3 linked regions of the Cricetulus griseus genome follow. The protein of the gene in region 2 purifies or fractionates together with the protein of the main gene of each other region. This does not show direct contact. Links are inferred from orthologs where the notes say so. Each region holds a gene or a part of one and is shown on either strand. Other genes may lie near its edges.

What was found.
Region 1: the proteins of coronin-1A (region 2) and Ift57 purify together in Homo sapiens (affinity purification with mass spectrometry; 3 studies listed by BioGRID and IntAct, counting the BioPlex papers as one, with this or other methods). This does not show direct contact. The link is inferred for Cricetulus griseus from reciprocal best matches to the Homo sapiens genes CORO1A and IFT57.
Region 3: the proteins of coronin-1A (region 2) and Poc1a purify together in Homo sapiens (affinity purification with mass spectrometry; 3 studies listed by BioGRID and IntAct, counting the BioPlex papers as one, with this or other methods). This does not show direct contact. The link is inferred for Cricetulus griseus from reciprocal best matches to the Homo sapiens genes CORO1A and POC1A.

The regions. Positions count from the first base shown.
Region 1 is NC_048597.1:41,436,655-41,440,300, forward strand, and holds part of Ift57 (intraflagellar transport protein 57 homolog), read right to left. Parts: intron 2,736-3,646; coding exon 2,613-2,735; intron 1-2,612. UniProt on the Homo sapiens protein: Required for the formation of cilia. Plays an indirect role in sonic hedgehog signaling, cilia being required for all activity of the hedgehog pathway.
Region 2 is NC_048596.1:74,039,994-74,044,247, reverse strand, and holds the start of coronin-1A, read right to left. Parts: upstream 2,866-4,254; coding exon 2,668-2,865; intron 1,830-2,667; coding exon 1,707-1,829; intron 1,623-1,706; coding exon 1,493-1,622; intron 1,404-1,492; coding exon 1,219-1,403; intron 1,100-1,218; coding exon 980-1,099; intron 808-979; coding exon 703-807; intron 602-702; coding exon 456-601; intron 372-455; coding exon 314-371; intron 203-313; coding exon 1-202. UniProt on the Homo sapiens protein: May be a crucial component of the cytoskeleton of highly motile cells, functioning both in the invagination of large pieces of plasma membrane, as well as in forming protrusions of the plasma membrane involved in cell locomotion.
Region 3 is NC_048597.1:214,487,323-214,490,968, reverse strand, and holds part of Poc1a (POC1 centriolar protein homolog A), read right to left. Parts: intron 2,537-3,646; coding exon 2,365-2,536; intron 2,078-2,364; coding exon of another isoform or gene 2,026-2,077; coding exon 1,846-2,025; intron 936-1,845; coding exon 828-935; intron 1-827.

The sequences.
Region 1 (3,646 bases), on a different chromosome or scaffold from region 2:
TTGGATATTTCTTTCCTAGCAGTTTTGTTCAGATCCTTTAGGGTATTTCTTAATTTGATTGTTTCCTTTTCTGTCCTGAAGCTTTTTAATTGTATTCAGATTAGCATCCAATGAGACCTTTGTCTTTAGTCGAGCACCACATTATTTGTATTTTTGGCACATATTCTTTTTCCTAATTCTATTTTGTTTCTGCTAATATTAAAATTAGTTTCTATTCTTTGGAAACAGACAATAATAGCAAGTAGTGCCATATAACAGACACATGCTGCTTTAGCAAAAAGAACCGACTAAACCATTATGGAAAGATTACAAAGGAAAACATTGGCATATGATGGATTCTGGTTGGCACAAATGTAATATGTAAAAAAAAAAACATATTCCCAAAAGATTCTCTCTTTTTTTTTAATTCTCTACAAGAAAACATAGAAGTAATAAACTTAGCTTGAGAGGAAAAGTGAAAAAAAATTATCCTGTGGCAGACAAATATGAAACTTATTTACTACTAATGTAAGGTCATTTAAAATAAATTTATAATGAGTTTAAATAATGAGACCCTTTATTATGTGCCTCTCAAAATCTCTAATCTATTCAAATATTAATACATAACCAGTAAAACACATTGATTCTTCAAATATTTAATTTCTTTTTTCTTCCCTCAATCATGAAATAAAAAGGATTTCTGAATGCCTCAAAGTCTCCTGTGCTAAGGGAAAGTTATTGACCAAATAAAGGCCATGGTTTGGGTAGGATCAAGAATAGAGGCAAAGTAGGATGTGACCAGAAGCTGTAGCAACTATCAGTGACAATGGGTCTGAGAAGAAAGGTTACCCTTTTTTAATTTTTTGAGAAATAACAATCCATTTTTTCAGTCACTAGATTCTTTATGCTTTTCAGTCATGGTATAATTTCATTTTTCTTGAGCTACACAAATATTGACCCTAATGCCATGCTTTCCCTGGGGGTACATCTGAAAGGCTCAAAGAAAAAGAAAAAAAAAAAAAAAGGATGCTGGGGAAACACTGTCCATAAGGATCGAATGACTCAGAAAAGAATTCTGATGAAGCAATCAAGTATGGCTTTGATCAGTATATTTTAACCATAAAAATCAAAATTCAAACTAATATCCTCATATCCCCCAAATCCAGAGACATCAATATGCTTGATTGTATAAATAATTTGGCACAGTCAATCGTCAATCCTAAGCTTGTAGCATGTGGTGAGAGTCAGCATCCAATTCTAAATTAGTTAATTATTTCCCAAATCAGAAGGACACTTATTCTTCACAAATCCAAAATTCTGAGTTGGTCTACTCTAGAATCTGAACTACACATAGTTCTGCAAAACAATATGGTGTTAGAGGCTATGCTTACACCATTTCTTTCTTGGTTATCTCTAGTGTGTGGAAATCAATGACTGTAGTTAAAATACACTCACAAAACCCATTAGGTTCTAAATGAAATGTCTGACTCTAAGAGTATACTTAGAATGAAAGTAAACAAGCTAAATTTGCTCTCTTCTGGGATTCAACTGTTCCCAACTACACAATTATTTTAAGATATTATTATATCTGGAATCACAACAATAGTGAGTTTTAATTTCATAAAGAGAATTTGTTCTGATAAAACCCTAAAACTAGGCCAGGCCTTGGTGGCTCAGGCCTTTAATCCCAGTACTCGGGAGGCAGACACAGGCAGATCTCTGTGAGTTTGAGACCAGCCTGGTCTCCAGAGCGAGGGCCAGGATAGGCTCCAAAGCTACACAGAGAAACCCTGTCTCGGGAAAACAAAACAAAACAAAACAAAACAAATCCAAAAACTAGAATTGGCATTTTTTTTCCACAAAAAAGGAAACACATTACTCTTAAGCTCTTTATGCAGAGATTATTAAAATTGTTAGTGAGAATTGGATCATCAGCTCTCCTATATGCTTTTGCTTGCACCAAAGTAATTACTTATGATGCCATAGGCCAAAGAAAACAAAAACAGAAACAAAACAGTACCTTGATTCAGAAGCAGCTCCTTTTCTCAATTACCATATCCTTGTCTTATTATATATTTCTTGTCTTCCTAACATTGACTGGAGTTCTTGACCCCCTTGCCTTAGCCATCTGAGTGCTGGGAATACAGGCAGAAATCCTGCCCCTGGCTTTAACTTCCAGTTGCATATACTGTAGTACAGATTATCTAAGACAACATCTAGGTTACAATAAATTATGCTAAGCAATAGTTCTAAAATATCTTTTAATTCTAATCAACTGGTATCATCACGGAATTCCAGTTCACCTCAAGAGAATACGATTTTCAATAAATCACATTGAAGTTATTGACAAAAATCCCTCAATCCAAGTGAAATAGCATATGTTTCAAATCCTTTCAAAGATTTTTCTTCTCAGACTGTATTACAGTATTCATTCAATAATTTGTTAAACCCTTGTAAGATAAAGCACAGATCAGGCAATGAGGCACATGTCTATAATTTCAACATTAGAAAAATCACAGGCCAGCATCCTGGATACTGACCCCTCCCCATCCTTAAAACTGTGGTGTTTTCAACCTGAAAGCACCTTATAAGGTGGTTTCTTGGAGCATATGTGCTCTCTCTCTCTCTGATACCTTATTGTCAGTCCTGATCGTGACTTTCAGTTGCGGTAGTACACGCTCGACTTCTAGACTCCATTCCGCAGCATCTGTCGTAGACTCCAAAATATCTTCTTGTTTGGCAGACTCGTTTGTGTCCTAAGAAAGGAAAGATAGCACAAGATTTGGAGTTTATAAAAAGAACTGGAGAAATCTTGAGGCATTTAAGCAGCACTGCACAATTCAAATCGAGGATAGTAGTGTTAAAATTATAGTGCAGTAGAGATTCTTCCTACCCAGGTTACAAGAAAATTAGGTAGAATAGCAAAATAAGCATTTAAAATGAGGTAAATATATGATGTAGACATTTTATAGTGGACATTACTTTGGAAATATCGGATTAAACTCAATGATGATTTTACCAGCTAGATACATCATTTAGGAATTCTAACTGGTATCAGCAGAGAAATACAAATACTCATGCTTGGTAAGAAAATGTTAGTTGAATTTCTGACACAGAAACACAAAGACAAAATGTGAAAGAAAAAGAAGATACAATTTCAGACACAAAGTGTTTATTATTTATTGACAAACTATATATTCATAATTGTACTAATATTTTGGCTAAGTCAAAGTACAGAGCACTTTAAAAATGTGGCATAACACAGACATGCTTGAGCTCCAAAGGGTAAGGGTCTTTGGCTTCTGACCTTGAACAACAAAGTCAATTCATGGCTGTTGAATCACAGAGAGAAAAATCTCCCCCACTTCCCTGTCCCTGCCCCATTGCTTTTCTTGGCCTTGCATACTTTAGCGCTAAATATCAAGAATCTAAAAATGTAGAAAATTTCCACATTAATGATTTAAAAACAAAGCCAAAAGCATTAATTTTGAAGGCAGTTTTTCCTCTTTAAATTCCCTTGATCAATCATAAGTGGCTCTAAATATAGTTATGTATAATAAAAGAAATACAAGAAGCATAAATAGCTAAATACATGAAGCGTATATGAATTCTAATTAAAAATAATATGTAAAATATTTTTAATTTAAAAATGTTTATTTCACCCAAG
Region 2 (4,254 bases):
CACTGGCCTCTGGTGTGGCTCTCTTGCGTACACTGTCCAGGCCCCTGTTGACTCTCAGCTCACGGCTCTTTGGGGGCACATAGCCATCCTTGAGGGAGATGAGGAGGGGGCCAGCGTCCCGACCACCCAGCCACTCCTCAGCTGTGAGGGCAGGGTCAGGTCCTGCCGTAGGTGGATACAGGTCCTCCTGGAACAGGTCCGACTGTGGGCAAGGCCAAGGCTGGTCATGAGAGTGTTTATGTTCCTGCCCCTCCCTACAACCCCCGTGGTCAGTTCCTGTCCTAGCGCCCAGGGAGGAGCATAGGAGCATCACCTTTCTAGGCACTGTCATGGCAATGGGCTCACATTTCCGCTCATGAAGCTTATAGAATCTGTGGAAACAGGAAGATGAGTAATACTATACAGCATGAGTGGGTGCTGAAGGTCTGGTCAGAAAGGGGGAGGGGATCATTCACCTGGCAATCTCACACTTATTCACTTCCAGGCCACGTTTGGGCATGTAGCCCATACCACGCTGAGACTCCTTGGAACTGAACATGGAAAGATAGTGCAGGAACGGAGCCTCAGAAGTGATCTCAAAATACCGGATAGAGCTGTCACCCTGTCGGTGGTATGGGCTAGAGTCAGTACCAGCACAGGTCACCAGCCTTTGTGTTCACCACGCCACTTACCCACTTCCCTGCCCCCAGCCCTCCTGAGTACCTTGCCACAGAGGTAAACAATGTTGGTGTCAGGGTCAAAAAAAGGCAGCAAAACTCCGCTGCTGGTGTCCAACTCCTGCAGGGACAGTGGCTCTTCCAGGTGCTTCTGTAGAGACAGGTGGGGGTAGCAATAGGCTGGGCCATGTCATGTCCTCACTGGACAGTAAGTAGGAAAGGACCCACAGTAGCAATGGAAACTCCCCACCTCAGTGATAAGACAGAGACTTAGCCTCCAGCCTTGATTCCCAATCTAAAGGGTTCCCTTTCTCTGCACTCACTGTGTCCCACAGCGCCACCTGCCGCTCGCTCATGCGGCTGAAACCTGTGGTTAGAATCTTTCCTTCTGATACAAACACAGCATGCACTGGCCGAGTTCCCTCATGAGGACGGTCCTTTTCCTGAGAGGAAGGAAATATGGTGGGTCAACTTCTCACAGTCTCACCAAGAGACTAGAACCTAGGTGGGTGCAGGGAGAGCAACATCCAAGGGTCAAGGTTTAGGGTTCATGGCAACTTACAGCCACAATGGTGCCTTTTCGAGGCTCAATGATGCGAACACGCTTGTCACGGCAGGAAGTACAGATGAGACCACCATCCCGACTCCAGTCCACACTGTAGATCGTGTCCGGGTGCACATCTGGGCCGAGTGTCAGCACAGCTGCCCCAGTGCCCACATCCCACACCAGGATCACATTGTCACAACCTGCACAATTGGCCAGCGGTGAACTATGAGCTTTTGCCCTCCTGTCAGGCTCCTAGCTGCCCCCCCCCACACACACACCCTTACAGCACCTGCGCTGAGCAGTACATTCTGGGCTGTGGGGTGCCAGGCCACGATGCCCACCCGCTTGGTGTGTCCCTCCAGGGTGACAACAGGCTCCCGCAGGGGCAGTACCAGGCCTCCGTCAGGGATCTCCCACACCTACAGAAAGGGGCAAATGGCTCGGGTTCAAAAACCAGGTTTTTCCTGAAGACCCCTCCTAGCCACATTCCTACCAAAACTCACCATGACCGTGCAGTCCTCAGAGCCACTGGCAATGACATTGTCATTGTGTGGGCACCAGGCGATGTCTAGCACAGGGGCGGTGTGGCCGCAAACCAGGGGCACATTTTTGTCCACTCGTCCAGTCTGGAGGACACAGCAAGGGTTCTGATGGAGGTGCTTTGACTTCCAGACCCAATCCAACCTCCCCACACCCCTGCAAAGGGACACACAGGAAGGCTGTGGGGTCCCTGGAAGCACTGGGGTGGGGAGGGTTTGACCTCTGTCCCAGTTCCAGGAAGGCTAGCACCAAGCAGCATGAGATCCTGACCCCCTCTATCTTGGTGTCATCTGTGGGTGGCACAGGCCCTGGGCCCAGGACAAGCATGGGGTTAGGGTCCCCAAGAGGAGAGGGTGGGGATCTATGGGATGCACCCTAATCTGTCCCAAGCCTCTGGACAGCAGCAGAGGTTTGGAAATGGCCTCTTCCGAGGGCCAACTGCTTCCTGTGTAGAGAACAGTGCAGGGTGCAGGGCCGAGCTTCACCCGACAACCACTTCCTCTTCTCCTCTGCTTCCATCGGCCCTTTTAAGGTAACAACTCGGGGCCCATCTCCCCTTCCTGTTTCACCCCCTGAGGAGCCCAGGAGTGTACTGGGGCTAAAGGGTAGTACGGGCTTAGAGGGCTTTTGCCTCATCTCCACCTGTGAGCCAGGGCTTACACTTGGTGAGTCCCCGGAGGCTCAGTTCCTTACAAGCCAGACCTGGAGTTCTCGCTCCTGAAAACCCTGGAGCAGCCCTGCCCTGAAACCTGCCCCCACCCCCATTTTGTCCCCAGAGAGCGTAAGGAGCAAATGGCCCTGTCCCATCCTACAGGTAACAGCACTGACCCTCGGAAGGCTTGGTACCAGGTGCCTACTCAGGATCCCACCGCCTCAGTGGACAGCAGAAACCTCCCCAGGAGAGCTGCTGTACCAGAAGCTCACCTTGCCTAGGGGTAGCACCAGGAAGGCCCCTCCCCCACTGGCTTCACAGATCAGAGCCATGAACTTGGGGTTGACAGCACAGAAGCCACTGTCCCAGGTGGTCTGTGAGACGCGCACATCCTCATAGCACTGGTCAGCTTTGGCTGGCTGTCCAAACACGTGTCGGAATTTGCTGGAGCGAACCACCTGCCGGCTCATCCTGAGGGACACAGATTATAAACTTTTCTCAGAGTCAATTCTGGCCAAATGTTGTTATCCCTAGAGCAACCCTTAGCCTGGCTTTTAGGGTTCCCGAATCATGACTGAGGCACTCTGACCTACTCTCCATGACTGACAGCCTGCTTACCCTCCCCAGTTTTTCTTCAGTCAAACTCCCAGACACTTGAAGCCACACCCTCAATCCTGCACCATCAGCCCCTACAACAGAGCCTGATATAGTGTAAGCACCTAGGGGCTGGCTCTTGGCTGAAACAGTGCCTCCTTTCCAATGGTCCTGACACCCTGGAGGCGAGTTCCCTCCTACTGACCTCTTCCAGACCCTACATCCCACACAGCCATACAGCACTTCCTACAGGCAGGGCAGGGATGCTCCTCCCTAGCCTTCCCTCAGGGATGGCACACAGGAAGATGTGTGCCAGCTTGCCTAACAGGGAATGAAGTAGCAGGATGGCTTCCCCAGGTTTCTGGCCACAAGAAGCAGCAATGGCTTGGGTCCCAACATCTCCCCACACCTCTGCCTCTTAACCTCCGCTCAGAAAAAGCAGGTGTTCTGTACCATCTCTGCTTCCTTCAAGGATGGGGATGCCCAACATGACTTCCCTGAGGTCCGCTAAGATGGTTACCCACTGTGGCTGGGCAGCCAGCCAGTGAAGCCCAGGGGCAGCTTGTGTTCTAGATCCCCATCCCTGTGCCCAATCCCTCCACCTCCCTAGTGAAGGAGTCTTAACTGCCCTATGGAAAGCACCCTGCCCAGGGCCTCTCTGCCCACCTCCCCAGCCTCGCCCATCTGCTCTGCCTTGGGGGGGGGGGCTTCTTGCTGGGACTTTAACCCTCACCCACTCGGCTAACCCTAAGGAGGCTCCCAGGTCTACACAGAAAGCAGGTGAAATGCATGAGTGAAGGTCTCCAAGACAAGGGGACATAAGCCCCCCAGTAAGCAGTCTAGATTTGGGAGAAACCCCAACCTAGAGGTGGGGGCAGGAAGATGTGCCCCACCCGGCCTCCTCCCCCACCCAGGTACCAAGCCCGGAAACCACGGAAAGGGGAACTTGCTCTTTTCTTGTTTTGCACTCAACCCCTTCCTGTCTCAAAGCTTGGGGCAGCTACTTGGCTCACCCCACCCTGGCCCCCACCCTCATCGCCCAGAAGCTCCCTCCCAGGGACACAGGTCCCGAGACCAGCTGTGGCCGCTCCCAGCGCGCCCACCTCCATCTTGGTCACGATGGTCCTTTGCCCTCACCTTGGAGCACTCTGGGACCTGCTTGCCGCTTCACACTCCTTGGTCCCGGGCCCTCCCGGCGAGGCTCATGAACAGGTTCCCTGAACCGCAGCCCGGTGGCCCTGACAGCTCGCCCGCCCCCACAGCCC
Region 3 (3,646 bases), on a different chromosome or scaffold from region 2:
TATGGTTCTTTATTTTTTATCTTTGTTTTTGAGACAACAGCTCACTATTCACTATGTAGCCCAGACTCGTCTTCCACCCCGCTTCCTCAGTACCGAGATTACAAGTGTGTGTAACATGCCCAGCCAGCCCACTGCTGAGCTTTAAGTACAAGTGGGAACAGTGATCTTCAAACCAACAAATCAGTCAAATTGCTCTGGGGTTCCTTTTGCCAGGGCTGGATCCAAGACAGGTCCTGCCAACTAAGGCATGGGTGGGGAAGGTCCCCCTGGGCTACAAGGACTACTCATCCATCTCTCTTCAAAAGACAGGCCAAGAGCCTTCAATGCACTATCCATGACACTTGGGCACTCTAAGGGGCCCCTGCTCATTAAGGAATGAGGAGTAAAGCTGCAGCCCACTTAGACACTTAGAAAAGCTAAATCCCTGCTCAGAAGCAGGCTCCTCCTGCTTGTAGGATGTGGCACAGAAGGAAGAGCCACTGCCTGCTACAAGAACCGGAGGCTTTCATTGACAAATCAGTTTAGGGGGCTGATACAATGCTCTGAGAGACACATTAGCATTCTGAGAACTAGAAATTTAAGGGGGGAAAAGAGGCCAAATCATTGCATGACTTTAGGTGAAGTGTTTCTCTATCTGTGGGGACCACACTTAACTGTCTATCTGCAAAGGAAAAGCACAAAGCTCTACAAAAGGCAAGTCAGCCAAAGAGCAGCAAGTAGGGCTGCCCTCTCCACAGTCCCAGTCCCTAAAGGCCACTGGGCTTCCTCATGCATGCCCTGACCTGTACAGGAGCAGCTGCAGATGGAAGACAACAACAGGGACTCACCCGCCATGCTCGCAGTATGAGTGGATACACTCCCGACTGGTCTTGTCCCACAGCTTGACAGTCTTGTCATCACTGGCAGACACAATGAGCCGCCCATCAGGGGAGAACCTAAGTTGAATGGGGCAGAAGTCACACTACTAACAGACACTTTGAATATGACACCATGTTCTCTACAGCCACCTCTCCCAGCATGCTGATACCTGATCTAGGGATTCTTTGGGCATTTTGTGTTATTGTTATTGTTGTTTTGACACAGGGCCTCACTATGGGGCCCTGGCTGGCCTGCAACACTCTATGTAGATCAGGCTGGCCTCAAACTGTGGCAGTCCTCCTGCCTCTCAAGTCCTGAGACTTATAGGTGTACACCACTAGACTCAGCTCCCTGACCCAGGAAGGAATGACCTAGGGTTACACATGCTGCCCTAATACCTTCAGTGATCCTGGGCAAGTGGCTTCCCTCGGTGAGATCCATCCTTGCCAATGCCCACAGTAATCACGAGCAGCACAGTACACACAACACCCAGGAGGCACATGGCCTGCAGCAATACACACTGGTACTGCTTGCTAATGAGGAGGAGGTCAGGAGCCCCACATCAGTACATCAGCAAAACACAACAGGCCAACAAAAACACATGGAGGTCCTGGAACCTACCGTCAAAGGCCAACTGTGATCATAATACCCCACTTTTCTGGATTGCCCCCTGCCCCTCCCCTCCATTCTTAGGTCCTTGACCATAAGACCTCTAAGAACAGGACCCTCCAAGAATAAAGAATGGTTCTGTCCTAGGGAATAAGTAACTTCCATGAATCCACAGAGGAAGATAGTTCCATGCTCCCTAACTCTGAATTTCATGATTTCTTAGTATTCTGGCCACCGTAACCCCTTCTCCTCTGGAGCAGAGCTATGACACTAAAGGGAAGCTATACAACTTGCCCCAAACAGGCTGACACTCAGAGTTCCTCTCTGTCCCCCACAACCCTTACATCCTCTCAGGTTCTCCAGACAGGGAATGCTCACCTGGCACAGCGGACCCAGTTGATGTGCTGGCTCAGGGAAAACAGGAATCTCTGGCGGTGAGTTGACCACACCTTGACTGTCTTGTCGTCAGAGGCTGTCAAAAGCGATTGGCCATCACTGCAGAAGTGGACACTCCTCACTGTGGCCGTGTGTGCTCGAAACACGGTTGACTCACCTTTGCTATGAGGATAGATATCCAGACTCAGGAGATTCCTAATAGTGACATGAGGACCTACAAGTACACCAAAGTTCTCTCTACCTCTCTAGGCCTGACTGTCCCAGTCTCCCCAGAACAGCAAGAGCCTCCCCAACAGAAACAAAGTGCTTCTCTCCCACCTCTCCCCTTGTGGGAGTCCTTTCATCATAAGGAGACAACCCCAACTGAAGCCCTCTGCTAGCCTCTCTCAGAGGTCACATGTCCCACTGTGACCAGCTCAAAGCCAGGGTAAAGACCCAAGGAGGGACAGCTCTTATACCAAGTCCCTCAGCGTTGTTAGTCCCTTGAGGCCCATAACTCACACATTGGGTATCCAGATTCGAACAGTCTTGTCTCGGGAACCTGAGGCAAGCAGGTGTCCTGATGGGGAGAAGTTCACACAAGTCACAGCGTCCTTGTGGCCCGTGAAGCGGTAGGCACGTGACTGGGGCTTCATGTGCCAAATCATGAGGCATGAGTCCATGGAGCCGCTGGCTGAGGAGAGTGGGTAACACGATGATTCTCAGACCTCAAGAATCTTGATCACCTACCACATTGCTAGGAATACAGGAGAGCAGGCCCAGCTCTACCTTCACAGCATCCCCAGCAGAGCAATGGAAAGAATCCCAGTGGGAGTGCCCACACCCTATAACTGCTGACATACAGTTTGGAGAGCTAGGGCCTGGCAGTTTTCCATGCCAACATAGGAACCAGAGTGACAGGCCATTCACATGCCATTTCTGTACTGTGGGGTCTCCTCATTGATACTCTGAGAGCACAGGGCGAAGTCCTCCCAATACTCAGGAGCCAGTCAGACAAAGGTCATTTACTATTGAAAGGACCAACTTGGTTGGGGCTGGAGAGATGGTTCAGCAGTAAAGAGCACTTGCTGCTCTTCCAGAGGATCTGGGTTCAATTCCCAGCAATCACATGGTAACTCACAACAATCTGTAACTCCAGTTCCAGGGAAGCCTATGTCCTCTTCTGGACTCTGGGGGCAACAGGCACACTTGTGGTACACAGACATGCATGTAGGTAAAACATTCATACAAATAAAATAAGACAATCTAAAAATAAATTAAAAAAAAAGAAAGAACAGACAAAAAAATGACTTCAGTTCCCTTTTTGCTTACAGCAAACCATTACACCAACAGCCTCTGGCAGGAAACCTTAACAATAAGATAAAGAAGCAAGCTGGGAAGTGGTATAATACCAGGACTTGGGAGGCAGAGGCAGGTGGATCTCTGTGAGTTATGAGGACAGCCTCATAAAATGAGCCTCATAAAATGAGCTCCAGGACAGCCAAGGCTACACAGAGAAAACCTGTCTCAAAAAACCAAAAACAAACAAAAAAGATAAAGTGGCAAGCCTAATCCGTGGAAAAAGAAATCTGCAGCCAGAAAGCTACTTAGGAACACCAGTGTATATAAGAAAGGGACAGCAGTATGGAGTTGGGAGATGGACCTTGTTAACAACTTTCTCACTAGTAGTAGGTACAAGAAAATATACCATATTACTGTGGACAATCAAACTGAAGATTCAAGGAAAAGGAGCCAGTTTGGGATCCCTGCCACAGAGCAGACCCAAGAAGTGGCCAAGATGTAC